Oryctolagus cuniculus: one gene and its partners. The protein of the gene in region 5 purifies or fractionates together with the protein of the main gene of each other region. This does not show direct contact. Links are inferred from orthologs where the notes say so. Each region holds a gene or a part of one and is shown on either strand. Other genes may lie near its edges. The genes, in order: SUDS3, SAP130, SIN3B, ARID4B, SAP30, SINHCAF and ARID4A.

The links.
Region 1: the proteins of SAP30 (region 5) and SUDS3 purify together in Homo sapiens (affinity purification with mass spectrometry; 4 studies listed by BioGRID and IntAct, with this or other methods). This does not show direct contact. The link is inferred for Oryctolagus cuniculus from reciprocal best matches to the Homo sapiens genes SAP30 and SUDS3.
Region 2: the proteins of SAP30 (region 5) and SAP130 purify together in Homo sapiens (affinity purification with mass spectrometry; 4 studies listed by BioGRID and IntAct, with this or other methods). This does not show direct contact. The link is inferred for Oryctolagus cuniculus from reciprocal best matches to the Homo sapiens genes SAP30 and SAP130.
Region 3: the proteins of SAP30 (region 5) and SIN3B purify together in Homo sapiens (affinity purification with mass spectrometry; 4 studies listed by BioGRID and IntAct, with this or other methods). This does not show direct contact. The link is inferred for Oryctolagus cuniculus from reciprocal best matches to the Homo sapiens genes SAP30 and SIN3B.
Region 4: the proteins of SAP30 (region 5) and ARID4B purify together in Homo sapiens (affinity purification with mass spectrometry; 5 studies listed by BioGRID and IntAct, with this or other methods). This does not show direct contact. The link is inferred for Oryctolagus cuniculus from reciprocal best matches to the Homo sapiens genes SAP30 and ARID4B.
Region 6: the proteins of SAP30 (region 5) and SINHCAF purify together in Homo sapiens (affinity purification with mass spectrometry; 4 studies listed by BioGRID and IntAct, counting the BioPlex papers as one, with this or other methods). This does not show direct contact. The link is inferred for Oryctolagus cuniculus from reciprocal best matches to the Homo sapiens genes SAP30 and SINHCAF.
Region 7: the proteins of SAP30 (region 5) and ARID4A purify together in Homo sapiens (affinity purification with mass spectrometry; 5 studies listed by BioGRID and IntAct, with this or other methods). This does not show direct contact. The link is inferred for Oryctolagus cuniculus from reciprocal best matches to the Homo sapiens genes SAP30 and ARID4A.

Annotation. Positions count from the first base shown.
Region 1 is NC_091452.1:14,546,652-14,550,651, forward strand, and holds part of SUDS3 (sin3 histone deacetylase corepressor complex component SDS3), read left to right. Parts: intron 1-431; coding exon 432-527; intron 528-1,375; coding exon 1,376-1,437; intron 1,438-1,595; coding exon 1,596-1,617; intron 1,618-2,636; coding exon 2,637-2,742; intron 2,743-4,000.
Region 2 is NC_091434.1:118,460,964-118,464,963, forward strand, and holds part of SAP130 (histone deacetylase complex subunit SAP130), read right to left. Parts: intron 2,547-4,000; coding exon 2,311-2,546; intron 1,600-2,310; coding exon 1,441-1,599; intron 1-1,440. UniProt on the Homo sapiens protein: Acts as a transcriptional repressor. May function in the assembly and/or enzymatic activity of the mSin3A corepressor complex or in mediating interactions between the complex and other regulatory complexes.
Region 3 is NC_091447.1:65,109,833-65,113,832, reverse strand, and holds part of SIN3B (paired amphipathic helix protein Sin3b), read right to left. Parts: intron 3,035-4,000; coding exon 2,891-3,034; intron 213-2,890; coding exon 90-212; intron 7-89; coding exon 1-6.
Region 4 is NC_091444.1:54,475,560-54,479,559, forward strand, and holds part of ARID4B (AT-rich interactive domain-containing protein 4B), read right to left. Parts: intron 3,658-4,000; coding exon 3,560-3,657; intron 1,462-3,559; coding exon 1,218-1,461; intron 884-1,217; coding exon 711-883; intron 1-710. UniProt on the Homo sapiens protein: Acts as a transcriptional repressor. May function in the assembly and/or enzymatic activity of the Sin3A corepressor complex or in mediating interactions between the complex and other regulatory complexes.
Region 5 is NC_091433.1:55,750,039-55,754,594, reverse strand, and holds the start of SAP30 (histone deacetylase complex subunit SAP30), read right to left. Parts: upstream 3,195-4,556; 5' UTR 2,857-3,194; coding exon 2,542-2,856; intron 987-2,541; coding exon 861-986; intron 472-860; coding exon 373-471; intron 1-372. UniProt on the Homo sapiens protein: Involved in the functional recruitment of the Sin3-histone deacetylase complex (HDAC) to a specific subset of N-CoR corepressor complexes. Capable of transcription repression by N-CoR.
Region 6 is NC_091440.1:127,601,800-127,606,328, forward strand, and holds the start of SINHCAF (SIN3-HDAC complex-associated factor), read right to left. Parts: upstream 3,218-4,529; 5' UTR 3,086-3,217; intron 2,878-3,085; exon of another isoform or gene 2,739-2,877; intron 1,279-2,738; exon of another isoform or gene 935-1,278; intron 1-934. UniProt on the Homo sapiens protein: Subunit of the Sin3 deacetylase complex (Sin3/HDAC), this subunit is important for the repression of genes encoding components of the TGF-beta signaling pathway.
Region 7 is NC_091443.1:18,443,121-18,447,901, forward strand, and holds the end of ARID4A (AT-rich interactive domain-containing protein 4A), read right to left. Parts: intron 2,366-4,781; coding exon 2,262-2,365; 3' UTR 553-2,261; downstream 1-552.

The DNA of each region.
Region 1 (4,000 bases), on a different chromosome or scaffold from region 5:
TGTTGGCACAGAGGCCAGTGGCCTCTGAAAGAGCCTTCTGTACCAGTGAGCTTCCCTCCCGTCTGTGGGAACAGCAGACATCTGTGACCTGAGACGACCCCCAGGTTCCTTTCACTCTCGAGATCCGATGAATCTGTAGCTTCGTAATTTGAGGGAGGGGATATCCCCTAGCTTTTGAGGTTGGAGAGATGATTGCAGTGTTAGACTGTGGGGCTACGTTTCGAGAGGATTGTACACCTAGATCAGCTGGTCTTGAATCTTATAAACATGAACTCTGAAATCTAATATGAGCATCTGGCTTGGGCCATGTGTAGACCAAACATTCCCCAGTGAAATGGTTCTGCATGAGTGACTCTGGGGTAGGTAATTCTTATAGTAGAGAAATTCTTACTGACTGGGAATTAGATTTGTCCATTCTGTTCTTGCCACAGATTCTATGGAAGTGAAACCCATCATGACCAGAAAGTTGCGGAGGCGACCAAATGACCCTGTCCCCATCCCAGACAAGAGGAGAAAACCTGCTCCTGATATCCATTTGGATCAAGTTTTAGTCACTTTTTTCTCTTAAGATTGTAGAATCATTTGCCTGTCCATTTGATAGAGTATATATGGCTGTCGTCTTACAGAGCATAGCAACATTTGATTGGAAAGCATCTGTGAGTTATCCATCCACAGGTTGCGGCTGGGCCATTTTATTATCGCAGTCCGTAATTGCTAATTGCTGCTATTAATGGGAGAGATTTATAGAGAGGAGTTATTTGAAAAGGTACTTTGTGTTGGAAATCCAGCCGGGGCAACTGAAAAATTAATGTGCCTTAATTTTTCCACCTGTAAAATGAGGATAGTAATATCTGCCTTTATGTGCCTCAGTTACCTAAATCCCTAAAGTAGTGGATTGAAAACTGTTCTTAAAACAGATGAGATTTAATTCAGATATAAAGCAGCCTCTTTAATCATAAAAATGGGAATGATATGTGGGGAGAAGTGTGTGTGTGTGTGTGTGTGTGTGTGTGTGTATGTATGTATGTATGTATGTGTGTTTTGAGTAAAAGTCTTCAGATCTTTGGAACAAAAGCAGCCTATAAATTCAGGATGAAATTCTTTACTATTTCCTGTGTTCTTGCTATTTTACATACCTACTGAGTCTCATTTTACCTTCTCATCATAGTTTGTAAGGTTGGGGATGTAAATTGTTTTTTATAGCTGGACACCACGACATTTAGTAGGGAAATCAACTTTGCAGGAAGCAAAGTATTATAAAAGTATCATTTAACAAAGCTACATTTTGTAAGCTCTGTAATACTGGTGCCATTTTGTTGCCTTCTGTTTCTTTGCAAACCGTACTTTTCAGACACATTCCTTTAACTCTCAACACCTCAGCTAAACTATTTGTTAACAGATGAACAGATCATGGAGGATCTGAGAACGTTAAATAAGGTACAATTTGATTTTTTCTTAAACTTCTTTGGAAGTCAAAGCTTGACGTGGTTTCCTGCTTCACTTTGTTGTATTGCTTTTACATCATGATACCTCTGACACCTTCAGTTGCTTCTGAAATGATTTTCTCTAAGATTTTTTTGTTGTTCTTCCTACAGCTTAAGTCACCCAAGAGACCAGGTAAGTGCATTATGTTATTGGCGTTTGCAATCTTTTTATTGTATTGTTGTAAAAGCATGCAAATACATGTCAGTGAATTGTTGATGTTTCAAAAATAAAATATTTAGTGTGGGCCCAAAAGCAGTCATGATGAAAACTGAAAGGGATCTTAAGTGTGTCCCTCCTTTGACTATCTTTTTTTTTTTACCTTGGTATGTCATTCTTGTCTTTTCTTTAGGATTTATTATAAAAGACTTTTGACTGGTAGAGGTTCTTTCTATGTGGGCATCAGGCGTAAGATTCAACTTGATATGCATTTTTTTGACAATGAATTATGAAGGGTTTTCCAGTAGGACTCACATTCTGAAGTGAAGCTAGAGGCGTTTCCACGGCCTGATTCTGCTGCCGCGTCCTTGCTATAGGAGAAGCTGACCCAGTGTTCACAGTGGTTTCTTCCAGGGCAGCACTTGAGGGCATGCCAGTTTGCATACTGGAATAATTGCTTGGTAAGGCCTTAAGTGTGGGGTCACTTACACATCCCTCTCCCCACTAAGTTTATTGCAGGCAAAAAGCAACTTGGTGTAGACACAGTCCTGAGTGCCATAGTAGTCCACAGGGACGTCTTGAAGGGGAGAGGGCTTTGAGTGTGTGACCCTACTGTAGTTCTGGAAATTGTCGTTTTTTGAAAGAGATTTTCATTGTTCCTGCCTTTTTTGGACTTCCGATCACCAGGGATTTATTCTTACTCTGATTGTGTATAACTTACACATTGGACCTTAAAGCTTCCTGAGCCTCAGGTTGCTCTTTTGCTCGGAAGGTTAAGTCTGTGACTTGACTACCTCGTTAGGTTGCCTTGAGGGTCAAATTAGATGCAGTGTACAAGAACTGTGTTGAATTCCCATGCATTACTAACATTATAGGAGCTTGAGGGTCATGATTCCACTGCATTCTGATGGCAGTTCAATTATAGCATGCTGGGTGGCGGGCTCAACACGTGTTTGGTACGTACTTAGTCATTCCAGTGTGTCTGGTTCCTCCAGCATCCCCATCCTCTCCTGAACACTTGCCTACTACACCTGCAGAGTCTCCTGCCCAGCGGTTTGAAGCTCGGATCGAAGATGGCAAACTGTACTATGATAAAAGATGGTATGTTACGGGAACACCTGGATTACTTTAAGAGTCTAATAAGAACCAGTTGGAGAGGATCTGGGGCTCTCTACAGTTGTGTGTGTGTGTGTGTGTGTGTTTTTTTTTTTTTTTTTAAGACTTACTTATTTATTTGAGAGGCAGAGAGAGAGATCTTCCATGCTCTGGTTCACTCCCCAAATGGCCACAATGGCCAGAGCTGGTCCGATTTGAAGCCCGAAGCCAGGAGCTTCTTCCAGGTTTCCCATGTGGGTACAAGTGCCCAAGGACTTGGACCATCTTCTGCTTTCCCAGGTGCATTAGCAGGGAGCTGGATCAGAAGTGGAGTAGCAGGACTCAAACCTGCCCCCATATGGGATGCTGGCACTGCAGGTGGCGGCTTTTAACTGCTGTGCCACAGCACTGCCCCCATCTACAGTTGTTTTTCAGAGCATAACTGCAGAATAACTTCACAGTAGTACAAGTGGAACTCCATTTGAAAATGTTCCAGCAGTTACGTGTTGGACACCTATGTTGGATCTCAGCACAATTTTTGAAGTGTGTGTGTGTCTCTGTGTGTGTGTATTTAAGAAGATGTATTAATTTATTTTGAGGGAGTTATGGAGAGAAAGGGAAAAACAGAGAGATCTTCCACCTGCTGGTTCACTCCCTAGGTGGCTTCATTGGCTGTAGTATATGTTTCTTTTTGCCTCCTCTGAACTCTGCCCCTGTGTGCTCAAGTTAATAGGTGTTCTGCACCTAAAAGGATTTTGTGATCACATCAGTTTGGGAGAAGACCATGTTAATTAAGATAAATGGCGGGGAGGGCCAGTGCTGTGGCATAGAAGGTTGAGCCGCTACCTGTGGTGTGAGCATCCCATATGGGCGCCAATTCTTGTCCCAGCTGCTCCTCTTCTGATCCAGCTTCCTGCTACTGTGCCTGGGAAGGTAGTGGAAGATGGCCCAAGTCCTTGGGTTCCCGCCACCCATGTGGGAGAACTAGAGGAGGTTCTTGGCTTCCGCCTGGCCCAACCCCAGCTTTTGTGGCCATTTGGGAAGTGAACTAGTGGATGGAAGATTTTCTGTCTCCTCTTTCTCAGTATATCTGCCTTTCAAATAAATAAATCTTAAAACAACAAAAAGGTAAATGGTTTTTGTTCTTGTAGCCTTCTTTGGATCCTGTGATATGCTGAGGTGCTCTGAATTTCTAAGATTTTAGGTATTTTTTGATAGCTGTATCTTTTCTTCATGCATCATCCTGCTATACAAGTGTACCAGG
Region 2 (4,000 bases), on a different chromosome or scaffold from region 5:
GGAACGAGATGTAGCGTTACTTCCATGCGCTTGCTATGAACCACTGCCTTTGGGAAGTCAGGGGCCTCCAAACCCAGGTCATGTCAGTCCTTTTAGACAATGTGTGCCCCAAGGCAATGGGCTGAGGACGTGGCCTTTAGCTTTTTTTTATACAGCAGACTGTATCATGACCCCTGCCAACAGGCACGAGAGAAGCAACTGTGAGGACGCAGCACCTGCTCCAGGCTCACCGAGTTGCTGGGCCCCAGAACAGATGACGTATTTGGCTGCTTCCTTTTAGAAACTCTCATCTGCCATTCATTAGCCTTTCATGCTTGTTTTCTTCATCCTGGCCAAATGCTTATTTTGCCTCGCCCTATGTTCTTTGCATGCCACTGTATCCCTCCATTCTTCACGGACAGTCTTCTAAGTACATGCTGGGCAGCATCCCACAGCTACTCCCCTACCAGCTTTTCAGCTGATGCCTGACATAGCCCTTCCTCGCGCTTCCCTACATCTCTGATACCAGCGTTTCTCAGGTGGAGGTTCCCACACTTCCACAAGTACCCAACACTAGGACAAAAGGGAAAAACACAGCACATCTTTTCAGTTATCAGTGTTTTTTGAAAGCATAAAGGGAAAGAGTTTGAGACTCAGTTTTTTATTAGTAAATAATTTAAATTTGTTTTAATTTATATTGGACGCCACTATCAAGCATACATAATGGAGTAGGATTATAAAATTTCAAAAAAAAATTAAGAGATGCCAAGTTAAGTGTTCACAAGTAGAGGCTGCTTGAGGGAACACACCAGCACCCCAAGAAATGCACACTTAACTGGAGAAAATGCAGGGCACTACGCCCTCTTCTGCTGGGAAGCTTCTGCCCTATCAGAGTTGCCTGCCTCAACTCCTGAAGAGCACGGCTGTCGTATCTAGATGTCTATCCCACAGGGGGCAGGCCCTCCACCACAGCAGATGCTCTAAAAATACTGCCCGGGATGGAAACACAGCTTGGGACGCCCCCATCCCCTGTGAGTGACTGGGTCCGAGCCCTGGCTCCACATGTGATTCTAGCTCCCTGCTACGTGTGCTCCAGGAGGCTGCAGGCGATCCCTGCCATTCACGTGGGAGACCCAGATGAGTTCCAGGCTCCTGGTCTTGTCCTGGCCTAGCCTCAGCTGTTGCAGGCATTTGGGAAGTGAACCAGAGCAGGGAAGATCTCTGTCTGCCACTGTCTCTCTGCCTTTCCTGCAGATAAAAACAAACAAACCAATACTACCCAAACTACCACTATGAATACAGGCTTCTACTCCCTAAGGTAGCTCTCCCATCCTCACCCTCCTCCCCTTAAAGACGCCAGCTTTTTTAGGACATTATCTAGTATTCGGCTGGAATTCAATAAATAAGGGTTAACAGTTTTGCATCTCAGTTTGAAAATCAACAAATGAAGAGGAAAAAAACCTGTTGTCCACTGATTGTTGCCACAGGAATGGCTGAAGCTTGAGGGATGCTACTCTCCATGGTAACGGTAACCTGCCCTGGAACCTTGGGGGGAAGTGACAAGGTAGAAGGTGGAGCAGGAGCAATGGGACGGCTAGGCATGGTGGGCTTCGGGGGCGGCTGCAAACAGAAAACCATAAGAAATACATCAATAGCCTCATACTAGCGATGCATTCCACTCTCGAGTTAAAAGTACACAAATCAAAGCTGGAGAGTGCCAGCAAAGACGCCATACGTCTTATACAGTTTCTCCCCCAGCATAACAGCGTCTGCATTGAAGTACTAGCATTTCTACTTTACAGAGGAGGAAACATACAAAGCAAGGCTAAGTGACTCCTTCAAAGCCACACAGACAGTAAAAAGTCGAACTGGGAATAAAGCCCAGATCTGTATGGCTCCCAGCCCATGCCCTCACTTCTACACAATGCTGCCTCCCAAGTTTGGGTGGAAGTAAACAAAACTCCCAGTAACTGAAACATAACCCAAGGTCACAAGCAAGACAGTATTCTCAGATACCCCCAAGTTAGCCAGCTAGTAAAACAAACCTTGAAGAGTGCCACTCTTAAGACAAAAACTTAGTAAGTCCCTAAGCTGAATAATATCAGTATCAAAACGGGGGAAAGAGGCTGTGATGCCGACTGCCTGGCCACACAAGCCAGACACTGCAGAACAGCAGGGCTCTGAGTTACGGAGGACAGCTGAACTGACACGTGAAAAAGAAAAAATCCAAGTGTGAGCCTAGGACACAGCCTGAGATTCTGTGAACACTGTTACAGGTATCAGCTGGTCGTTAGCTGTGGTTCAGGGCAAACTTTTAAGCCTCTCCATTACCTTCATGAGTCCCTCCGAAAATGAGAGTGGCACTGCTGGCGTCAGGTGTGCTGGTGGAGCTGTCACTGCGACAGGTGTGGCCGATGCGACAGCGTGATGTGTAGACAACATCTGCACCTGTGGATAGGGCCTTACCACAACAGGCTCCTGCTTCTCTTCCCGAGACTGGAGGGAGTTGCTGGAACCCATGTGCTCCCTGGCACTGACTTCGGCATCTCGCCCAGATTCATCATTGACTGGTAAAGACAGTAAGGGTGAGACAGGATGGCATGATCTCCCAACGGTAATCAACGTGGCAGCACAGCTAAGAGTGGCACTTGCGCTAAGTTTCAGAGTTGACAAACTGGCCATTTCCTTGAGAGGTTTTCTTAACAATGAGAACTTGGGCACCAGATTCCCCTGCTGGGGAAATCAGCCCTGAGGGTCCTAACTGCAGAACACAGGATTTATCCTGGATATTGTGGCTTTTGCACCCTTACGAACATAGGGTCTGATGATCATACAAAATAAACTCAAATCACTGCAAGTACAACACAGGATAAAAAACAATTTCATCTGAGGAGCCACCGCCTCCAACACCAGCTTCCCACATGGGCTTCAATTCAAGTCCCAGCTACTCCACTTCTGATCCAGCTCCCTGCTAAAGCACCTGGGAAAGCAGTGGAAGATGGCCCAAATGCCTGGGACCCCTGCACCCACCTGGGAGACCCGGCTCTTGGCTTTGGCCTGGTCCAACCGTGGCTGTTACAGCCCTTTAGGGAGTGAGCCAGCAGATGGAAGATCGAGATATCTTTCTCTCTCTCTCCTTCTCTCTTTGTATTTCTGCCTTTCAAATAAATAAATCTTTAAAGTTCAATTACATTTGTTTCTTTAAAAAAAAAAGAATGCCGACCCCACCTCAACCACAAGATGCTGCTGTTATGCTTATTTTTCTGAACATAAAGATAAAATTTACTTACGTAGAAAACTTATTTGGAAAACCATAAAGAAAATAAAGCTTCCTCAAAATCTATCCTCGATGGCTCTAACAGTTATTACTTGGTGAAACCTTTAGAAATCTCTCATTCTTTCTTGATTTAGGGTGAGTTTTTAAAGTTTTTTTGTCATGGAAGTAAAATCTTCATAAAGATCAATGCACAAGCAAATGCCAATTGCGCAGTTCAATGGACTTCCATAAACTGAATCCACTTGAGCAACGAGGCCCTGGCTCAAGAAACCAAACACCAGTGATCCCTCAGAAGCTCTCCAGTCAGCCCCAAAGGATACCCCTGCCACGCTTGGCCACCCCCTAACTTGGAACACTATATGTCAGTGGTGCCTACTTTAGAACTTCATATAAACAAAGATGGCCTTTGTGCCTTCCTGCCTTCACTTACAGGTTTGAGAGTCATTCACATTACTATAGATCGCACGCGTTCTCAGTACCGTGAAGTATGTGACTGTGAACAAACTGCAAATCCACTGTACTGTTAGAAGACACTTTCATGAATAAACCTCAACTCATTTCACTGTTAAGAGGGTTTTTTTTTTTTTGCATTATGAATAGTAATATTTTTTACCTGTCCTTTGTTGAACATATGTTCCATTTCTACTCTGTGTGTGTGTATACATATATATTGAATTACTGAATAAGATACCCAATTACCAAATAACAGAGTATGTATACACTGTATCATTTTTAAAAGGCTAA
Region 3 (4,000 bases), on a different chromosome or scaffold from region 5:
CTTCTTCTGCGGAGACGAGCGCGCCGCTCAGGCCCGCCGCCCGCCTCTGGGGCCCGGGGACCCCGGCGCCCGCAGCCCCCGCCCGTTACCTTGGCCGGCGCCGACACGGGCCGGAGCAGCGAGGGCCGCGAGCGCTTTTTGCTGTGCTCCAAGCCCCTCTCGTGTCCGGCCTTGGGGACGCTGCTCGTCTCGCACGGCCCGTTTCCTGTGAACTGAGGACGGGGCGTGGGGTGGTCAGCGAGGGGGCCGGGTTGCGGCGGGGGAGGAAGAGGGGCCCGGAGCCCCGCAGGCAGGCGCCTGTGAAGCCAGAAGCTGCCGGAGGTGCTCCCCGCCGGGGCCACCCCACCGCCTGCACGTGAGCGCCCCGGAAATGGGGGGGAGGGGCTGCTGTGCACCAGGCCACCGATGGGAGCCTGGACACCAAGGTTTGGGCTCTTTCCTTTAGAAAAAAAAGTTCTCTACTTCTACTTATTTCAAAAGTGACAGCACGCCCGCCAGCCGTCCACAACAGCCAGCGCTGGAGCCAGGAGCCAGGAGCTCCATCCGGGTCTCCCACGTGGGGGCGGGGCCTGCCCAGGTACATTTGCAGGGAGCTGGGTGGGAAGTGGAGCCAGGTGCTCTGCTGTGGGATGCGGGCGTCTTACCCACCGCACCCGACACGGCCGGGCTCTCTCCTCTGTGGGACATAAGGGGGCTGGGCCGGGAGCTGGTGGGGGGCCTGCTTCCTGGGCTAGCCGCCAGCCCTTGCTTCTCCCCAGCGGGCACCCGGGCCTACACAAGCGGCTCTGGAACGGCCGACTCAGCACCAGGATCTTCACCCGCAGTGCGGGCCATACAGCGGCAGCGCGGCCCAGTGGGGAAGCCGCCCGCGGCGCCGGCAGGCATCCCATGTGGGCGCCGCTCCGAGTCCCGGCTGCTCCACTTCTGATCCAGCTCCCTGCCATGGCCTGGGAAAGCAGTGGTTGCTCCTGCACCCGCGTGGGAGACCCGGATGGTTGCTGGCTTTGGACCGGCCCAGCTCTTTCTCAACGCACAAGGGCGCTCTTGTGCCCGAGTCACTAACGATGCTACACTGACTTTGTTCCTGGGCGATGCGGCTCCCGCATCGGAAGGGCCGCCTGGCGAAGGCTGAGTTGCGCCCACCAGAGGGCGCTGTGGCCACAGCCACCAGAGAACCAGAGTGTCCCCCCACCCCCGACACCCACTGGGCAGGAACAGATCGGCCGGCCTGTTTCCCCCATGGCAGTGTCCACTGTGCACGCCCCACAGCCCAGTAGACGGAGCCCCACGTGCAACACTGACCCCAGGACACGGGGGGGGGGGGTCACTCCGGCCGGGACTTCCCTAAGCAAACTTTTCTCGGCCTCCTCCCCGCGGCCCACAGGGGGCGCTGATCCCCCAGGCTCCTACCCCAGCGCCTCCCCTCCGGGAGGCAGCCACAGCACCTCCTGAGACCGTGAGGGCCAGACCGCCCTGCCCGCTCAGTGCTGCAGCGGTGGCTTGGGGAGCCCAGCGTGGACACCGCAGGTCCCATCTGGGGGCAGCGTGCTAGGCGGAGCGCTGCAGGTGTGGGACACAGCGGTGACACCCAGACCCAGGGGGGACCACCCACAAACAACACCCAGCGGCCCCGGGGACAGCGGGGGGACACGGGGGCCCACATGGCCCACCACGCGGCTGCGCCACACAGGCAGGCCTTGAGACCCGTCTGCTCCGCGGGTACCGAGTCCCTGGAGCGGGCAGGCAGCCAGGGCCCCAGGAAGAGGCAGGGGACAGGGCAGATTCTGAACTTGAGAGCGGGCAGGGCCCGGAATTCAGGGGAAGGCGCATCAGAGGGCAGGGGGCCGGGACACAGGCTTGCGGAAGAGGGCCGTCCCTGTCCCTGGGGGACTCCCGTAGCCCCGCCTCCAGTACTCCCGGGGGTCTTCCCCAGGCCAGGCAGGGCGAAGCCTGCAAGCTCCAGCCCACACCTGCTTCTGCACGAGGGCCCAGCGTCTACACCTGCTTCTCCTGCGTGAGGGCCCCGCGTCTACACCTGCTTCTCCTGCGTGAGGGCCCCGCGTCTACACCTGCTTCTGCATGAGGGCCCCGCGTCTACACCTGCTTCTCCTGCGTGAGGGCCCCGCGTCTACACCTGCTTCTCCTGCGTGAGGGCCCCGCGTCTACACCTGCTTCTCCTGCGTGAGGGCCCCGCGTCTACACCTGCTTCTCCTGCGTGAGGGCCCCGCGTCTACACCTGCTTCTCCTGCGTAAGGGCCCCGCGTCTACACCTGCTTCTCCTGCATGAGGGCCCAGTATCTACACCTGCTTCTCTATCACAAATGCCCAGCATCTACACCTCCTCCTGCACGAGTGCCCGTGTCTACACCTGCTTCTCCGGCAAGAACGCTACTGCCCTGCTGGGTCCCCACATGACAGGGAGCCGACACACGACCTGGGGGGTCAGGAGGGCTGGAGCCCCCAGAGTCCAGGCCCTTGAGGGCACCCAGCTCCAGGCACTAGGATGGGGCCAGAGAAGAGACGGAGGTTGTCCAACCCTGTGAGTGCCCCAAACGCCACTTGGAGATGGTGAATTTTGTTGCCTGAATTCCACATCAATAAAAGGAAAAAACCAAAATTGCAGGCTCACTGGAAAGAGGGTGAGAAAAGAGGAAGTGGACAAGACAGCACCGGCAGCGGCCTGCCCCCTCCCCCCCACCCCCACGTTCCCATCCACCCCGAGGCCGGCCCCAGTCCCACCCAGCACCTGAGAGGTGGTGGCCACCCCCGCCCCCAGCGCCAGTTTAAGAACCACTGCGGGTGGAGTGGCCACACGGTGCAGCCGGCGCGGGCTGGGGGCAGCCCACGGGTCCAGGCGGTGTGCCGGCCTGGCGCGGGCCCGGGCACTCACCAGGGAGCGCTTGGCTTCAGGCAGGAACTGGCCGAACTCGGAGAGCAGGTCCTCCTGGCCGCGGAAGAGGCTGGCCACCTCGGCGAACACCTCCTCCTCCGACATGCCACGGAACGGCCGGCCCTTGGCACCCAGCTGCTCCTTCTGCCGCCCGGGGAGGCAAGGGGGCGGGGAGGGAGCGTCAGCCGGGGGGCCGGGCTCCCCGGGGCCTGCACGAGGCGGAAGCCTCCGGGGACCGGCCGGTGCACAGCCGTCTCAGCCCCGGCTGCAGATGGGCACCCGGGGGCTGGGGAACCACAAGGTCAGAGTCGGGCGCACAGCCGCTCCCACGCAGAAGGCGTGGGGAGCCAGCAGCGGGCCACGCTGGGCAGGCGGCCCGACCAGATCAAGGCAGTGACCGGCACCGGGGGGCCAAGGCCAGAGGACAGGAACCAGCCAGCTGCACTCAAGTTGGCAGTCAGAACATGAGGGAACTTCAAACAGGTTACCCAAAAAGCGAATTAAAAGGTATGTTTCACGGGGCTGGCATTGAGGCATCCCATATGGGCATCAGTTCGAGTCCCAGCTGCCCCACTTCTGATCCAGCTCCGTGCAGTGGCCCAGGAGGGCAGAGGAGGATGGCCCAAGTGCTTGGGCCCCTGCACCCACGTGGGAGACCCGGATGGAGCTCCTGGCTCTGGCCTGGCCCAGCTCTAGCCATTGCGGCCAACTGGGGAGTGAACCAGTGGGTGGAAGCGCTCTGTGTCTCCCTCTTTTATTTGGAAGTCAGTTACGCAAGCTTGCTCCTTTGTAGTACAAAAGAAAGCAGTGAGGGTGACGCTGTGCCTGGCAGGGAGTCTGCCCTGCCCGGGCAGGAGGTGGACAGCCGGGAGCCCCAGGCCTCCTGGAGGGGCCCCACACCCTGACTGCTGGCAGGCACTTTTCCCCACCCGGCTCCCTGTAACAGGGAGCTCCCGGGTGTGGCGCAGGCCCATCAGGACCACCTGGGGTGCTAGCCGAGCTCCGTGACCTTGGGGCTGATTGGAGAAGCAGAGCGGCACCCATATCCCATATCGGTTCTCCCCTATAGGGTGAGCGCTGCCCTGAGTTAGCCACACCCCCTCCACCTGT
Region 4 (4,000 bases), on a different chromosome or scaffold from region 5:
ATAATAACAAGTTATTATTTTCATCTAAGCCCACATTCTTTTATCTTCCCTGTTTGCATGTTATGGCCAAATTTCAGAAAACTACTAAAATGATCAAAAAAATTGGTCATTCTTATTTAAATGAGCATTTAACAAGAGATTTTTATGTTTTTTAAACCTCAGAAATAAGATTAAACTCCAAACGTTACCTATGAAGTCCAAGGGTCCACTGGAAATGTATCAATTACATTATTAAATCATTCATCATTCCAAAGTGACCAAAACAAATAATGTTACTATCACATAAAACGCAAATAAGCAATCTTGGCATTTAAGAAACTAATTAGTATTTTTCCATATTACTTTTTGCTTAATAAATAAACACAACTCTTAGAATGTATAACCAACATACCATCTACAAAACTTTAGAAAAGGACATCTTTCTAAATCCATATTATCTGGTCACTGAGCAAAACTTAATTCAATAAAAAGTACTTTTACTGAGCTAAAAATTGTATGAATTTCAATGATGAGAGCAAGAATGGATCAAAAACATGATCTTTCTCTAAAAATCTATATCGGTAGGGTCTCTGAAGGAGGCATTTATTTAAAAATGCACAGCACTACGTATTTTGTCATCAGATTTAGATTCATACATACATACATATCAAGAACAAGATATAAAAAATCAGCTAATCAAAATGCAATGTAACCAAAAACAAATTTCTTACCCAGATTTTGCTTTTTCTTCTTCAGCTTCTACCTTTATGCTGAGGGATTCAGCTACCCTAGTTGTATCATCATTATCTTCCAAATTTTCATTTTCTTCTGATTTTTTTATGTTAACTTCTTTTTCCTGATCAGACTGTGTAGGTACAGATTCTAATAAATTCTTTTTACTTCCCTAGAAAAAGATCAAAGGAGCTAAAGCAACCAAAGTAAAAATGTATAACCTAAATCCATGATCTTGATTGTTTAACAAGAGGAGGTATCGACAAATACTAATATTGAATTATTACTTTTAAGAAACTTCTGCCATTCATAAAACATACGACAAAAATATCTAACAGCCATTTTAAGAGGCTACTATAATCAAAATTATACAAATGTAGCCCTTAATGAAGAAAATATACAAATAAAAACTGTAAATTTATACAATGAATTAAATTGAGGAAATTTATAGAGGATGCAGCAGATATATTAAAGAAGGCAAAGGACAAGTAACAATACTGATTTACCAGAGAGGGTTTAATATTTTCCTTTCTTTCAATTTCCTCCTCATTTGGCTTTTCTTCTTTTGGTATTATATTCCTCTCCTCTTCAACCTTTATTTCTTTGACCTCAGTTTCATTTTCTTCCTTAATTTTTATTTCTTTTACATTTTCACACTCCTTACATGGCTTGTTCATAACTTTCTCTGGCAATGCCATCTGAAATTCAATATTTGCTGATCTACAATACTCCTCAAAACCATATAAGTATCTGGAAACATAAAGAAAAATATTTGGTGGAAATAGTTCAATTTAAAAGGTATATTCATTTGTTTTAAGATTTCAGATAGCTAGTCATATTAGCATTCTATTACAAATAGAAAATTTTGGCCAACGCCATGGCTCACTTGCCTAATCCTCCACCTGCGGCGCCGGCACCCCAACTTCTAGTCCCAGTTGCCCCTCTTCCAGTCCAGCCCTCTGCAATGGCCTGGGAAGGCAGTGGATCCAGGATGGCCCAAGTGCTTGGGCCCTGCACCCGCATGGGAGACCAGGCAGAAGCATCTGGCTCCTGGCTTTGGATCGGCGCAGCGCCGGCTGTAGCGGCCATTTGGGGGGTGAACCAACGGAAGGAAGGAAGACCTTTCTCTCTGTCTCTCTCTCTCTCACTGTCTAACTCTGCCTGTCAAAAAATTAATTAATTAATTAATTAATTTTAAAAAATAGAAAAATTTTTCCAAAAACTTCATTAAAAGAATTTGTACAGAGTGAAGATAGCAATAATATTAAATATAAAAACAGTAACAATAGCAGCTATTCAAAGTATTAGTAATACATGTAGGGTCTATTTGTTTTCTTTTTCTTTTTTATATAGAATCTATTTGTCGGGCTGGTGCCGTGGCTCACTTGGCTAAACCTCCGCCTGCGGCGCCAGTAGTCCAGGTTCTAGTCCCAGTTGCTCCTCTTCCAGTCCAGCTCTCTGCTGTGGCCCGGGCAGGCAGTGGAGGATGGCCCAAGTGCTTGGGCCCTGCACCTGCATGGGAGACCAGGAGGAAGCACCTGGCTCCTGGCTTCGGATCGGTGCAGCGCGCCGGCCGTAGTGGCCATTTGAGAGGTAAACCAATGGAAGGAAGACCTTTCTCTCTGTCTCTCTCTCTCTCACTTCTAACTCTGTCTGTCAAAAAAAATAAAAAATCTATTTGTCAAGGATTTTTTATGTGTGAGGCATTGGGTCCTTTAGCACATCTCCTTTAATCATTAGAATAATCCCATAAGTCAAGTAGCATTATCCAATTTTACCAATGAGGAAAATGGGGCTTAGGAGAACAAATAAGTGATCCAAGGGAATAAATAGCTAAGAATCGGCAGAATCAGATTCATACCCAGATTTCGTTGAATCTGGAACATCAGCTCTTTTTTTCAAATTTTATTTGTTACACAAGTTTCATATATACAGATTTAGAAACATAGCGATGGTTCCCACCCTACCTTCCCTCCCACCCATGCTCCAAACCTTCTTCTTCCTCGCACTCCCATTTCTACTCTAATATTTACAAAGATCTATTTTCAGTTTACTTAATGATGGTAAGGTTAACCCTACACTAAGTGAAAGAGTTCAACAAATAGTGTGAAGAAAAACAACACTGCTCCTCAAAGGAAGAGACAAGGGCTGTAAACAATCATCGAATCTTACAATGTCTGTTACACTCCAATACATTACATTTTAGGTACCCAATTAGTTCCTTAGATCAGAGAAAAACATATGGTATCTGTCTTTTTTGGGACTGGCTTATTTCACTAAGTATAATGGTTTCCAGTTGTATTGGAACATCAGTTTTTGAAAAAATTAATTAATGAATTAGAAAGATCTTCATCACTGTTTCATATCCCAAATGCCTACAACAGCCACAATCCATGAGCCTGGAACTCAATCTGGGTCTCCCACATGGTGGCAGGAACCCACTTATTTGTTCTCCAAGTACTTGAGCTATCACCTGCTACCTTAAAGGGCAAATCAGCAGGAAGCTAAAATTAGAAGCAAGAGACTGTACTTTTCAAACCTAGGTACTCCAATATGTGAAGCATGTGTCCCAAATGGTGTCAACTGCTACACCACATGCTCACCCCAAATATATCCACTTTTAAACCTCTATTAAGTATTTTATAAATGGAGTTGGCCAAAAATCCTTTCTACTTTGAAATTCCCATATATTTTAATATTCATAGCATACTGTCCAGAAAATGCTATCAAAAAGTGTTAGTAGAGTTTTCTGAATTTTTTCAAAGAAATAATCAGCCTCAATTATATGGTAAGTTCTATTCTATTTTCTTGATAAAATACTGTTAATAGCCATATCAAGTACACTTACTTTTTATAAGCACATTTAACATTGTATCCTGCAGCTGAATTTAAGACAGGGATCCCAAGATCTTGATAGACTTGTTTCCAAACAGCTCCACTTTCAATCTAATGGACAAAATGAAATGAAACTTCCCAAATTAAAAAGTGGATCACTTCTCAGCCTTTAAGTTAAGCTCAAGTGCAAAAAAATGAAAAAGTAATAAGATTTTGATAGATAATACATTTATATAAGTGTGTGTGTGTCTGTGTGTGTGTGTGTGTATATATATATATATATATTGGTTCAAGTCTCAAAGAAAATACCAAATTTGATACATTCAGAATTTGGTTTATACCAAAAATTTTTACTATTCTGACCTCAGAAATAACAAATGTTGAAATATTAGGACATCTGACTTTTAAATAAACTCAATTATAGTAAGTATGAAACCACCCAGGTTCCTAAACC
Region 5 (4,556 bases):
GTAAATACATAAACCTGTGAGCATCTTGGCAAGATGCACAGATTTCTTGGTTCTATTACTTCCTGAGAACACATACCTCCATACACACACTTGGTCAACTTTTCACAACTCAATAAGGACTAGAAGTCCTGTGCCAAACAAATTTTCAGTAAAAACTTGAATGAAAGGCTTTACTTTTTTTTTAGATGAGAAGAAGTCATGGATGCTTCTCATAAAACAAATTAACATCAACAAGAACAATTTTGTCATAGTTAAATCAGTTAAGTTATTGAAATAACATTCAGGAACTTATATGCAGACCTATTCCAGCAGAAGATTCAAAAAATCAAACCAGCTAATTTAAAGTTTAAATAACATAAAACTCATATATACCTCAACAAGCTGTGCTTTATTAAGTCCTGGTCTGGTTGGTAGCTTGAAGTGTCTTTTGTATCTCCTAAGCGTATTTACTTGTAATTGGTATAAATCAACCTAGAAAAAAATTTACACATATGAATTAGTCCATACTGTTTTTTTAAAATTTACCACTGATAGGTTCAAGAACAAAATTTCAACTTCAGCACAATACAAACTTAACTCCATGGTTTATATATAAACACTTTAATCTTTCTGGGATAAATACTATAAACTGGTGGTGGTATTATATATTATATATATGAATAAAATTCTAATAGTTGTCAACTGAAAATATAATAATTCAAACTGTATAACTTTTATTAACTGGGTATATTTAACTTTGCTTTCATTTCCAGATTTCTCAAATGTTTTAAATGTTTAAAAAATTTCCTCAAATGTTTTTATAAAAATTTCAGAATGAACTACTTAGGAGTTACATTAAACATACAAAAATTTTCATCTACCTCTGGCGTGTCAATATCTTGAACAGGTGAATCACCTCCATCATCATCACTGCCTTTTCTCTTTCTTCTGTTTCGAACACTCTGAATTAAATTTTTATGATAATCACAAATGTAAAGATGCCTTGCCTGAAACAGAAAGAGTTCACAGACTGCTTATTTTACAGTAAAATGTTTCTGTGCATTAATACACACATAGGCCACAGGGAATTATTGAAAACAGTCAAAACAAGCCATTGGTAAGACAAGAGTATGTTTCTAGTCTTAAATCCTAGGCCTTGTTAAACCAGATGTCTGGCAATACAGAGCGGAGTGGGAGGAGGAAGAGTGTAGTGCCACTTGGGGGAGGGACAGAGGCAGAAAAAGGAGAATGAGAAATTCCAGTCCTCTGGGTTTTGTCATCAAATTGCAAAGGTTGACCTGAATTAGTTATTTCAGGCTGGATTTTTAACTGGCAAGGGAGAAGATGATGTTGACCACAATTCTGTTACCTGATAGTATTTTCCGCTTAAAGAGCAAACTTAAGTAGTACCATGCATGCTTTCCAATCTAATTTACTACCCAAATCATATTACAGGCACAACATTTTCCAAACTAGCTATTAATTTTTATCCTATATTTAAATTTCAATTATAAATTTTTCTAAGTATTAAATCAATGTATTTGTATGTGATACAAAGTAATCTGAAATTATTCAAATTCACCTGAAAAGTTTCTCACGAATACCACTAAAGAGCTGTTTAAAACAGGCAGAAAATGTCACAATAAACTTTTCAAAAGCTTTAATTACATATTTTCATGAGAATTGTATAGCGACACGGAAATACTGGGCTTCATATTTTGACAGCTAATTCCTTAAAAAAAAAAAAAAGGGCTGAGCTAACAGGCTTGACAATTTTCAAGCTAAGCCTCAGTTAAAAACATGCAGGACGCGCGCTAGGTTCTGACAGCTTGGTATTCATTGATTGCCAGCCAGAACTCCGAAAAGTAGCAATGGGTGTTTCTAAAACCCTCCCAGTCGGTCAAAAGAACAGAAAACGGAATCCTGATGGCTGCCAAGCGAATGGCAAGACCGCAGAGGCTACGTGCTCCCACGTTCAGAGTAGCTGCGGAGCAGCTGACACTGCAAACACGGTGTACAGCCCCTGCGCCGCGCGAGGCGGCAGGGTGGGGGGATCTCGCTCTGTGTTCCGGACCAAGGACCTTCCTGGGTGTAAGGTCCGATTGGACTCCACTTTCCCCAGAGTAGGGCAGCTACTTCACCCTGGGGCCACACGCCAGCTCGGGCAGCACAACAAAGGCTCCTCCATTCCAAGAAGGGGTTGCCGGGCTGCAAGAAAACTACTCCGGGTGCTCCGTGCGACCTGCCCCTTTGTTTCGATTCCCGATTGCAGCAGAGGAGGAAGAGGGAGGACTGCGCGGGAGAGACGCATGCAGCGGGAGGTCGGGGGGTGGGGAGAGGAGGAGGAGGAGGGGCACCGCAGCGTGTGTTTTTGCGTGTTGGGGGTGGCGGTCGGAGTTGCAGTGACTTTGTTGTTTGCTCCCGAGCTAAGACTTCGCAAGTCCGCACTGCAGCCAGGTCGGGGGTGGGGGTGGGGGTGGGGGTGGGGGCTGAACCTTGCCAACAACCCGTGTCTTTGCCCAGCTGCTGGAGCCCCACAGGGGCGGTCCCGCCGTCACTTACGCTCTTATCCAGCTCGATCTTCACCTTCTTCTGGGAGATGCTCTTCTGGATCCTCTTGCTGAAGCTGGCGTTGCCTGCCGCCCGGCCGCACCGCTCACCGTCCTCCCGCAAACAGCAGAGTTGCCCGGGGCCCGGGCCAGCGGCTCCCGGGGGCCCAGCCGCGGAGACCGCGCCGCCTCCTGGCACCTCAGCCCCAGCGCTCGCCCCGTTCCCATTTCCAGCCGAGGCGGCGGCGGCCGCTGCAGCGACCACGGCGGCCACCGCGGCGGCTGCGTCCCCACCGCGGCTCATCTCCTCAGGCGTGAAGCCGTTCATGTCTCCGCGCTCCGAGGCGCCGGCGCCGACAGAAATCCCCGCTAGTCTCGCCGCTCCGCCTCTCTCCGCCAGGTCCCTCGGGCACACGATCCGGCGGCGGCAATTCACTCTGCACCCCAAGTTCGGCGATGGCCCGGCCAAACACGCAATGTCCCCAGCCTGGCGATTACCGTTGGCGCCGGAGAGTGGACAGTGCTGGGGGTTAAGACTCAAGAGTGGGGCAGCACAGGGACCTGGGACCCCGATTACTGTCACATGGAGACTTCAACACTTGGACCGCGGCGCCTCCGCCTCCCTTCGGCCCCTGGACCTGCGCAAGCACGACGCACCCCCCCCCTTCCGCCCCTTCCACTCTGCCGCGAGTTACCACGGGAATTGTAGTTCCCTACTGCGAAGTCGTCCTGAGTTTCGCCCTAATCTGGCGTCCAGTAAACTGGATGAACTACACATCCCAGCATGCATCGCGCCACAGCGGGCCGATTTTTTTTCCAAAGCACAGGGAAAACAGGAGTGTGTGGTTGTGGATTACGCTGTTTATTCTAGTCTCCTGTGTCTCCCTGGAAGTTGGGTGGTGTTTAGCTCCTGGAATTTCGCGGGGTTGGTGTTCAGAGGAAGTCAGCCGACTCTGAGGGGAAGCATAAAGGCGGGTGGGGGAGTAAGTGAGCGTGCAAAAAAAAAAAAAAAAAAGTTTCGGGGCCGTTCTGCGTGTGTGGTAAAACCGTTTTTGGTGAACTATGCTTTTGAGGGAAACCAAACCAAGGAGAATTCAGTCAGCTGGCGCTTTCCAGGTCTTTGAGGTCCTGCAGCTAACACCTCTGCTTGCCTAAACACCTCTTTCTTGCAGCAAATTAACGGGACGACTGCTAGGAAGGAAATGCCTACTTCTTGACAGTGACAGATCCTACTCAAAAATGCCTTTTCTAAATCCTTGTTCGTTCCTTCAGTGTTTCATTCTTAGGTGCAAAAAGCAGGTCGCTTCCTGGGGTAGAATCACTGGCTAGTTGACAGTAACTGGACTACTTTTTCCCTCCATTCCCAACCTTGTCAGTTTCTCCTCGGATGCCTCTGAAGGAAAGAGGCGTCTAGAGGGGCGCGGACTGCAGCGTTCCTAAGTCATTTGGATTGCTCCTCGGAAACTCCCCAGGGGTAGCTCTGCCCAGTGTGGAGAAAAGCCGCATTCTCCGAGCGGACTGCACGGCCGTGTGTGTTGCAACAGGCTCCTGTGAGCGCGCGTGTGTGTACGTGCATGTGCGCGCGTACGTGTGTATGCTTGCATGTGGGAGCGTGCTGGTGGAGGGCGGGTTTGGAGGAAGGGCGTGGCTAATATAAAAGCTGCGCATTAACTGGTAACAGCGCACCGGTTTAATAGTCTTTTTAAAATTTTTGTTGTTGTTGTTGAAAGGCAAAGTTACAGAGAGATTAAGAGAGGCAGAGACAGCCAGAGATGTTCCATCTGCTGGTTCACTCCCCAAATGGCCATAAGGGAGGGACTGGGCTGGAGCCAGGAGCTTCTTCCAGGTCTCCCACGTGGGTGCAGGGTTCAAGCACTTGGGCGATGCACTGCTGCTTTTCCAGGCACATTAGCAGGGAGCTGAATTGGAAGTGGAGCAGCCAGGACTGGAACCATTGCCTAAATGGGATGTCTACTTCGCAGAAGGTGGTTTACTCCACTATGTCACAAGGCCACCTGCCACTGCTTT
Region 6 (4,529 bases), on a different chromosome or scaffold from region 5:
CTTTCAGTATTATGAATTTGGTCGACCAAAACTTGGGAAAAACGTAATTCTTTAACAACCAAACAATCAAAACAAAAAATGTATCTGAACTTGTGTGGACTTTTGGGAGTGTGTGGGCAGGGCATTCAAGGTTATTATTTTCCAGTCATGACCACTTCTAACCTTCAACAAGACCCAAACGCAGCAGAAATGAGGAGAGCAGCAACAGATCCGGAGCTGCTGCTTATCGGACGTCTAGACTGCAGGCAAACCCCGGATTCCAAAGAAGCATCCATGTGTCAAACCGGCATAATTTCTGAGCTATGCCTGGGGCCGCATACCAATAAAAAAAAAAGTTGGCTTGAAAAGAAAAGCGAGGAGGGGTCAGCAGAAGGTCAAGCCCGGTTCACAAGAACCGGAGAGGAGACGGGGCAGGTTGCAGAGCCTCGACCATGTCATCCTCCCCAAAACCCTGGCTTCCCTCAAGGTCACCCCAAGACAAGGCAGCGAGCCACCGCGATACCCTCCCGGCCAGAGAAGATGCCGCGGTCCCTCATCGTTCCCAAAACACTTGAAATGCCAGCAGGCTCTTCTCGGAACTCCACCATCAACTCTGGGACTTGCATTTAATTCCGTTTGGGGCAACGGCACGTGCTGGTCCTGCAAGGCGCATCAGGAAAAGGCTTCAGGGGCACCCTCCGGTCCAAAAGCAGGTGCTTTTTTTTTTTTTCTTTTCATTATGAAAAGCGGAGCAGTGAGTTTCCTGACCCCCTCCTCAGTGGGGACACAGCACAGGGGCGAGGAGGCAACTGTCCGGCGGACAGTCGCTGCTCACCTCCCGGGTGGCTGCGGGAGCCGGAGGTGAGCGCGTGAACGGAACAACAAAGGAGCCGAGTGGGAGCGGATCCCGGGCGCCGGCACGGACCCCGCACCACCCACGGGCCCCGAAACCTACCTCGCCGGCCGCCTCCCACGCGTCCACACACAAAGAGCCCGCGGCGCGCTCGCTTCGCCCCCGCGCCTCACTTCCCCCGCCGCGCCGCGGGGAGCCCCGAAACTTCCCCTCCGCGCCTTTCCGGGCGGCGTCGGGGCTGCGTCCCCGGGACGTGCGGGGGCCCGGACGGTGCGGGGGGCAGACGCCCGCGCGCCGCGGCCCCGGCGCTCCCCCTCACGCTGCGGGTCCACCTCGGGCACGCGGCGGCCGCCGGCGGATGTGCCGGTCAGCAAGACGGCCGCGGCCCGGGGCGAAGTTCCTGCGGGGCCCGGGGCGGCCGCCGGGGAGCCGCGTCCCTCGCCGCCGCCCCCCTCACCTGCGCCGGAACCACGGGCCCCCCGCGCCCGCCCTCCGGCCCGCCCGGCGCGGCGCCTCCCGCAGGCCGCGCCTCCCGCACGCCGCGCTGCCGGGGCTTGTTCCTCCTCATGGCTTTGCCCTGACGTAATTCAAACATGGCAACAGTTCGACTTCAAAGGCGAAGCCACAGACCTCCCAGACGCAGGCTCCCGGGCCGCGGCTAACGGGCCGAGAGGTCCGGGCTGCGCCCTCCGGCCCCCGGCGCAGGGCCCGGCGCGCGGGGGGCTGCCGCCGCCGCCGCCGCCTCCCCCGGCCGCCCGCTCGCCCGCCCGCGCCGCGCCGGGGCGGGGAAGCACGCCGCCTCCGGTGCTCCAGCATGGCACCGCGCACGAGCCGCGCCGCCAAAGTTTCCCCGCGAGGGGCTGAGGGACAAAAGCCCTCCCGAAACTCGCCCGAACTTAGGGGGCCGCGCCCCGCACGGGCCTCGGCGCCGGCGCCCGCGGCGGGGCCCGCACGGGCACATGCAGCCCTTTGTTTTCCGTCCAGCCGGGCGCTGCCTACGTGCGGCATCAGATGTCGGAGCGCCAGTCGGGGGCCGGGCGCGGGGCCGCCACGCCGGGGCAGGGGCCCATCCCACCAACCAAAGTTTTTGCAGCGCCCTGGAGGAGAAACGCCCCGGATCGCGCACCCCCGGCACGGGCGGAGGGCGAGTTGGCGACTTTCGCTCTGCTTTTTAAACTGGCAGGACGCCATCATCGGCGGATCACATTGTCCTGCGGGGCCGGGGGCTGCCCGACGGGTCGCCGCTCCGGAGCAGCGGGGCAACCCGCAGCACGTGGTCTGTCACCGAGGCCACAAAAAGCAGTGCCCCCCCACCCCCAGCCCGCGTCCCCCCACGAGCGGCGCCGCCGCTGCCTGCCTCCTACCCCCCCCCACCCGGCCGCCCCCGGCTCGGCTCCCCGGGCCATCTTGGACCGCAGACGGCGCCCGCGCCACGCCGCGGCGCCCACACCTACGCCACAGGTGAACGCACGGGTGGCACAACTTGGGGCTGCGCGGGCACCGCCCCGGGGCGACGGGCGCGTGGGAGCCGGGCCGTCTTCGGGCGACCGCGTGTGGCTCATTGTCGCGGCCGCATCCCTCCGGACTTGGGCGGACCGCGCCGTGCCGCGTGCGCCCCGGAGGCGCCCGGCGCTGCACCCAGAGGCCCATTTAAACCCCCCTCGCGGAAGCGGAAGGCAACTTAGTTTTGGGGCGGATGGCGCTCATTGTCCACCCTTCGGCGAGACACGCGAGAGGGGCTGCCATGGGCTACACCACGAGGTGCGGCGCCGGAGTGTCCCCCCCCCACCTCCGCCACCGGCCAGCGTCCACGCGGACGCACCGGCCCCTGCCGCCCCGCAAGTCCCTTTCCGCCCGGGCCTTGCAGCCTCCGGGGCACGCTGCGGCGGAGAAAAGTCATTGTCACCTTCAACGTGGATCCCTCAACTCCGCGACTCCCCGGTCATTTCCAGGCTCCGCGCACTCCCCCCACCCCAGGACTTTCGGTTTGCCTCAGATACCCGCCCCGGTGGGGGAAGCAGGCACCCGAGACGCGTGTATACAAAAGGACCCGGGGGCTGGCGATCGCGGAAACGGGGCGCCCGGCATGCCACCTCCCAGACAAAACTTCCTGTGTGTGCGTGTGCGGTGAGCGTGTCGGCTGTGTGTGCAAGGACGGGGAGGTGGGTGAGCTGGAGACAGAGGACACCCCACTCGGAAATCAAAGCCTCGGCACGCAGTCCTGCAGCCCAGCGACCGTCAGAGTTCGCTCACCTTCCCGAGGCAGCCGTTCCACGCGCGATCAGGCTCCCGAGGTGCGCGGTGCACGCAGGCCGGCCCCCTCCAGGCACTCCGTCCTCCTCCTCCGCCGCCGCCGCCGCCGCCTTGTCTAGAAAGATTGTCTCCTGCAGTTCTGCAGTTGCTACCGCGGCCCGGGAAGGTGTAGATTCCGCTTTCGTTCTGCGCACGCGCGCTCCCGGGGCAAGAAATTCTCTTGAATCGGGCTCATTTGCATGCGGGCGCGCGCGCGTCGCGGGCGGGGCGGGGAGGAGGCGAGGCGGCCGCGCGCGCTCCCGGGGCCTCTATTGTCCTTTTAAGGGGAGAAGCGCCGCGGCGCGGGAAACGCGGCGGCCCGCGGGCGGCGGGGGCGGGGCCTGCTTACTACGGCAACGTCGCGTAAACAAACGCCCGCGGCGGGACGCGGTGGACCCGTGGGCCGCGGCGGGGGTGGGCGTGGGGAGCGCGGAGTGTTGGAGGCCGGTTTTGCTGGCACCTGTGACTTGCGACAGCGCGCGGGCAGAGTGCACACGCTGCCTCGGTTTGGCTGCAAGTTGCGTGTTCGCAGCTTTTTGGAAACGCGTGCGCGAGTCCCCCGGAGCCCGCAGGGAGCCCGTGTCCGCGCGGTCACGCTTGGACTGCGCGTGTGGCCGCCGGCTCCCGCTGGCCCCTCTCCCCCAGGGTAGCCCACGCACCCCAACTCGTGCAACTCGGAGACCACGCCACGAACGGGCGTGCTCGTATGGGGACGCAGCCGGGGACGCGCAGGCTCTGTGCACCCGCACCCACGCCCGGAGGATCCCCTCGCGGAAGTCACCTTGCTCCGGTGCGCGGGGCACCTGCCCCAGGCCGCGGGAGGCTGCGGGGAAAGGCTGTTCGTCCCAGAAACGGCATTCTAGTCCCCAGCCGCAGACGTGAGACGGTCAGCCGTGCCGGCCAGTGTCCACGCGCGGAGTTAGGTCGATACTTGGGAAACGCGGGTGTGACACAGCCAGTGCCTGCCGCCGACGCGGAAGCGCCCGAGCCCCCGCGGCTGCTTCTTCCTCAGGTCCTGCACCTGCAAGCGGAGCTCCCGCAGGGCCCACGCCTCGCCCAGGAGAGGGGCTCCCTCGCGGCGACTGGCTTCCCTGCTCCAGGGCCTGGGTCCGTCCGTGGGCAGTGGGCAGTGTGCTCCTGCGGACCGCAGCTCGATCGCGGGCTCCCGCAGCCTCGCAGCCTGATAGATGACCTAAGTCACTCTGCACGTGCAGGGTCAGCTTGACCCACAGGAAGCAGCCCTCATCCTAACCGAGTGACCAGGACTGGTCGCAGGAACTTCATGGACAACCTGGACCCCAGGGGGAAGTCTGTGCCTCCCTCGTTTTGAAGACAGTTTTAAAAGTTGTCCTTGGCGGTCTCAGATACTGACTCGGTTTATGAAAAACCCTCCAAAATTAACTTC
Region 7 (4,781 bases), on a different chromosome or scaffold from region 5:
ACTACATTATATAAACAACTTTCCATTTTAGACATTAAATGTCTTTATACTTTGTTTTGTAGCCATAAGAGCTATCCAAAGTTTAGCTAAGCTCAAAATATGCCAATAATTGATCTGTCGTGAATTTAAATGAAGACAGTATTCATTCAATTTTGTAATCCTCTCCAGCCGCCAAATAAAATGATTTTAACAGTGACTGTGTACCTATTCAGTGAATATATAATTTTGTTCTCTGCAGCAACATCCTAATACTTCATTACCACATTTAGATAAATTAGAAGGGACAATACTGAATCTGATAACTTAGCTATCTCAGATTTATTGAACTGCTACTGAGGGACATCATTAAAATATCGAACATATAAATGTAAGGTTGTCTCCTAGTTCCAATTGAATGACATACATATTTTTTATTTTTATAGTTAAGTACAAGAAATACTTTATTGTAACTATTGAAATGCTTTGCTTTGAAAAATCTGATTTTCCAATTTTAAGTCATTGGCACTTAGGAACAAAAGCAATCACTTAAATGAAAACTAAGCATATAAAGCCTATGTTTAAAACATGGCCTTTATTAATACTGCCCGCTGAGCTCCATTTTTTATTTTACATTGAAATACTTCTGCTTTGCAAAGAAAAGACAGAAAAGTGCATTTTACAAGAGTACTTTTTTGTTTTTAATTCTCTGAGAAAATGGAAGGAATCTGAGTCACAAATTCACAATGTGGTAAAATGAAATTAAGAAACAATGATTTCAGTAATGCTATGTCATCACTAGTGTTTAGCTCTGACTTTGTTCTTGTAAATCAGATCCTGATATACAGTCTAGAGCATCTAGATTATTACTCTACAGCATATTAAACACAGAAAAGGAGGTTTAAAAAAAAACCCCTTCAATGTACAAACATGAATTTAAAAATCGCTTTTAAAAAATCACTTTTTTTTACATAAGATATATGCAAAACTGCTTAAATACATGATTTTGGAAGAATTATTTACAAAATGTATCAGTCTGTGGAACAATTCACAGACGAAGCATACATAGTTGCTTTACTTAGTTGTTGCATCTCAACTTTGGGAGATATAAATTTATTCGGCAGTACAGCAAACATAAAAACTGTGACAAAGTATCTTAAGGGCAACCAAAAATTTGATCCTCAAAACAGTTTAAATACTAGGACTGCCAAAGTCTCTAAACAAGGACATGCTTTACTGATCCAGATGCCCATTCATAGTTCTCTACTGTTTGAAGGACTGAGACAGACTCCCTTCAACCAGGCCAGGGACAGCTGAGAGCTACTGCCATCCAAAGAGTGAATTAACCTAGAATTTTCTTTTTTTCAATTTTATTAATATTTTAAAAAATACATAAAAATACAACATCCAATGTCTGAATAAATATATTTAACAAGTTGCAAGATAATACCTTATTTTACACAAAATTTTCAGCTTTAGAAATCTTGTTAAATAACTTCATTGTTGTTATATATTTCATTTTTGTCTTTTTGTAACAAAATAAAAACTCTGAAATTACATAGAAAAAAGACAAAATATTTTTGTCAAGGGATAAGATAGTCCACTGAAAACTTATTCACAATTCCACTGTAAACATTAATAAACATTAAAATATTTGCATAATTGTGTGCTCAAAAATCCTATAAAAAGTGGAAGACTTATTACAACTGTAGTTTTCAGTCAACTACACTTCCTTTCACAATTTATTTTGTCCCATTTACATCTTTAAACCTGGGCACACTGCTGAACATATACTTTGGCAGTTCTAAATAGCAAGTGCTTCCACAAAAATAAAAACAACAACAAAAAAATACAACATAAACCCCCTACTCACCAAGTGTTCAAACACATCTCAGTGAAAGTGCAACGGTAACTACTCAGCTGGATAATATTTTGATGTTTATCATGTGCACTTGCTTGTCTATGATTTCTATAACACCTGAAAGCTTTATTATACAAATTCAAATTTGCTAAGTGCCCTTTTTTCTCTATCACAAAAAATGAAAAAAAAAAGAAAGAGGAAAAGTTATGACAAATATGGCAGGCTGCCTAACCTTCGATTATTCATCTGCTTATTTGTTTTCAACAAGAAAAAAGGAAATAAGAAGGGACTAGGTACGATCCAGCCTGGAAGAATATAGAGGAGATACTTAGCAATGTCAAACCAGTTGAGTGCTTTCTGTGGTTGTGTCTCAGGGTTTGGGGATTTATGTCCATGGCAGCTGGGAAGGCAGAGGAAACATTTATCACCTGCACTCTACAGCAAGTACATTTTGTGGGGGTGATGAGGATGAGGGACTCATTCCAGTGTCTGATGAAGCAGATGACATGGAGGCTCCTGTATGAGACACTGTGGAAGCAAAACAACCGTGTTAGATTCAAAATCCATTACACCAAGATGCCTAACCAACAGCAACTAGGAAACAAAATTCTTAACATTCATTTCAATCATGGGCCTCCTAAATGTTGCATGAGAAATAAGCAAAGTTTCGGCAAACATTTTGATTGGCTCAATAGCATGCAATTCATCTTTGCTCCATTAAACAACTTAAAAGTTAAAAAAGAAATTTAAAAACACTGTAAAATGTGAAGCTTAAAGAGCAATAAACTCTGAAATCCCAACTTGGAAAATCCCAGTGAGGAACCTGGCTTGCCGCAAGTCAGAAACAAGGTCAAGCTGAGATAGATTCTCACGACAGGGAATGTCTGACTATGTTGAGGTCACAGGCCCCAAGAGTGCTCAATGCACCCAGACAAACCCCCCTGCTGTCAGGAATCGGAACCATGGTGGTCAGGATGGAGGTGCATGTGCGTGGCTAGGAAAAAAGTCCTGAAAAGTCTACCGTAACTCCCCAGGAATAGTAACACAGGCTAAGGGTTTATGTGTTGTGGACTTTGTCATTTTGTAGTTTCTGCTTTTATCATTTTTTTTTCTTAAAGATTTTATTTGACAGGCAGAATTAGAGACAAGAAAGAGGGAGAGACAGAAGTCTTCCACCCTCTAGTTCACTCTACAAATGGCTGCAACAGCTGGAGCTGGGCTGATCCGAAGCCAGGAGTCAGGAGCTTCTTCTGGGTCTCCCACACCGGTGCAGGGCCCAATTACCTGGGCCATCTTGCACTGCCTTCCCAGGCCACAGCAAAGAGCTGGTTTGGAATAGGAGCAGCTGGGAGTAGAACCGGTGCCCATGTGGGATGCTGGCACCGCAGGTGGAGGCTTAGCCTACTATGCCACAGAACCACCCCTTATCTTGTCTTTCCTCAAAACACACTCCTGTCTCTTGTCAATCTTTACTCAAACATTCCCAGTTATGTAAAGTTTTAACTTTGTTGATGTATATCTGTGGGTGTGGCTTCCAAGAAGACAAATTCCTATACGTATGCTAGAACTCTTTCAATGTAACATCCACTACAAAAAAGGAAACCAAAAGAGGAAGCCTATTAGAAGAACGCTTTTTGTTGTCTAAAACTTTAAAGAAATAAACCCCAAAGCAGTTGAGGATTCTCTGAAGAAATCTCAATTTGTTAATTTGCTCTTTTCTTCTTTTTTGTGTTTAAAAGTCCTAGGAAGACTTCTGGTTATTTAAAAAACAAACAAAAACTTGTAAAGGACAAACATGGGACGCCTGATCATTTTTTATCTGCTCCATCTTATTTCTTGCAATTAAATAAAGACCACTGGATGTGTAGTAGAATGATTGAAGACCACATCTGCTACATGTCACTCTATCAGTAACTCATCCCCGAAATACGCCTGGTTAGGCCTGTCAAGCAATTTACCTTTTATGTATTAGAGAGAGAGAGAGAGAGAGAGAGAGAGAGAGAGAGAGAGAGAGAACGAACGAACGCATGTATTCCAGCTCCCATCTGTTGGATCATTCCCCACATTCCCCAAATGCCCACAATGGCCAGGGCTGGGAAGCCCAAGCTGCAATTCGGGAATTCAATCCAGGTCTCCCAGGTGGGTGGCAGGAACCAAACCACTTGAGTTATCACGGCTGCTTCCCGGGGTCTGCATTAGTAGGAAGCTGGAAACAGGAGCTGGTACTAGGGGTCAAACCCAGGCATCCTATATGGGATGCAGGTTCTCTAACCACTTTCAACAGCTAGGCCAAATGCCCACCAGCCCTGTCATCATCTTTCTAAAAAGATTTTTTTAATTTAAGAGTTAGAGAGATGGGGGCTTGGGGGAGACAGGGAGAGAGAGGCCTTCCATTTGTTGGTTCACTCCCCAGATGGCCACAGTGGCCAAGGCCCTTCCATTTTTTTCAGAGACAGCCTTCCTGGAGCCCTTCTATCCTGTTTCTCCCTATTCCTGCCATGCGAGTGTTACCCCACAGCTCTTATTAACCGTCACCTTGAGAGTCAGTCCCCTTCATTATCTTCCTTGCTTGCTGGATCCATGTTGCCTCCTAGTTCCTAGCACCAGTACTGAAAAATCTGACATAGAAATTTTTTTTCTTGTTTCTTTTGGGCCAGCAGGTGGAGCCGCCATCTGCAGGGCTGGCATCCCATCTGCCTGCCTGAGTCCCTGCAGCTCCACTTCCAATCCAGCTCCCTGGGATTGTGCCCGGGGAAAAAAGCAGAAGTTCCTGGAGTTCTGGGGCCCCTGCCCCCGAGGTGGGAGACCAGGGTGGAGTTCCAGGCTTCTGGCTCTGTCCTGGCTCAGCCCTGGCCTTTAAGGCCATTTGGGGAATGAACCAGCAGATGGAGGATCTCTCTCTTTCTCTCTCTGTCCTTCCTTCTCTTTCTCTGTGACCTGCCTT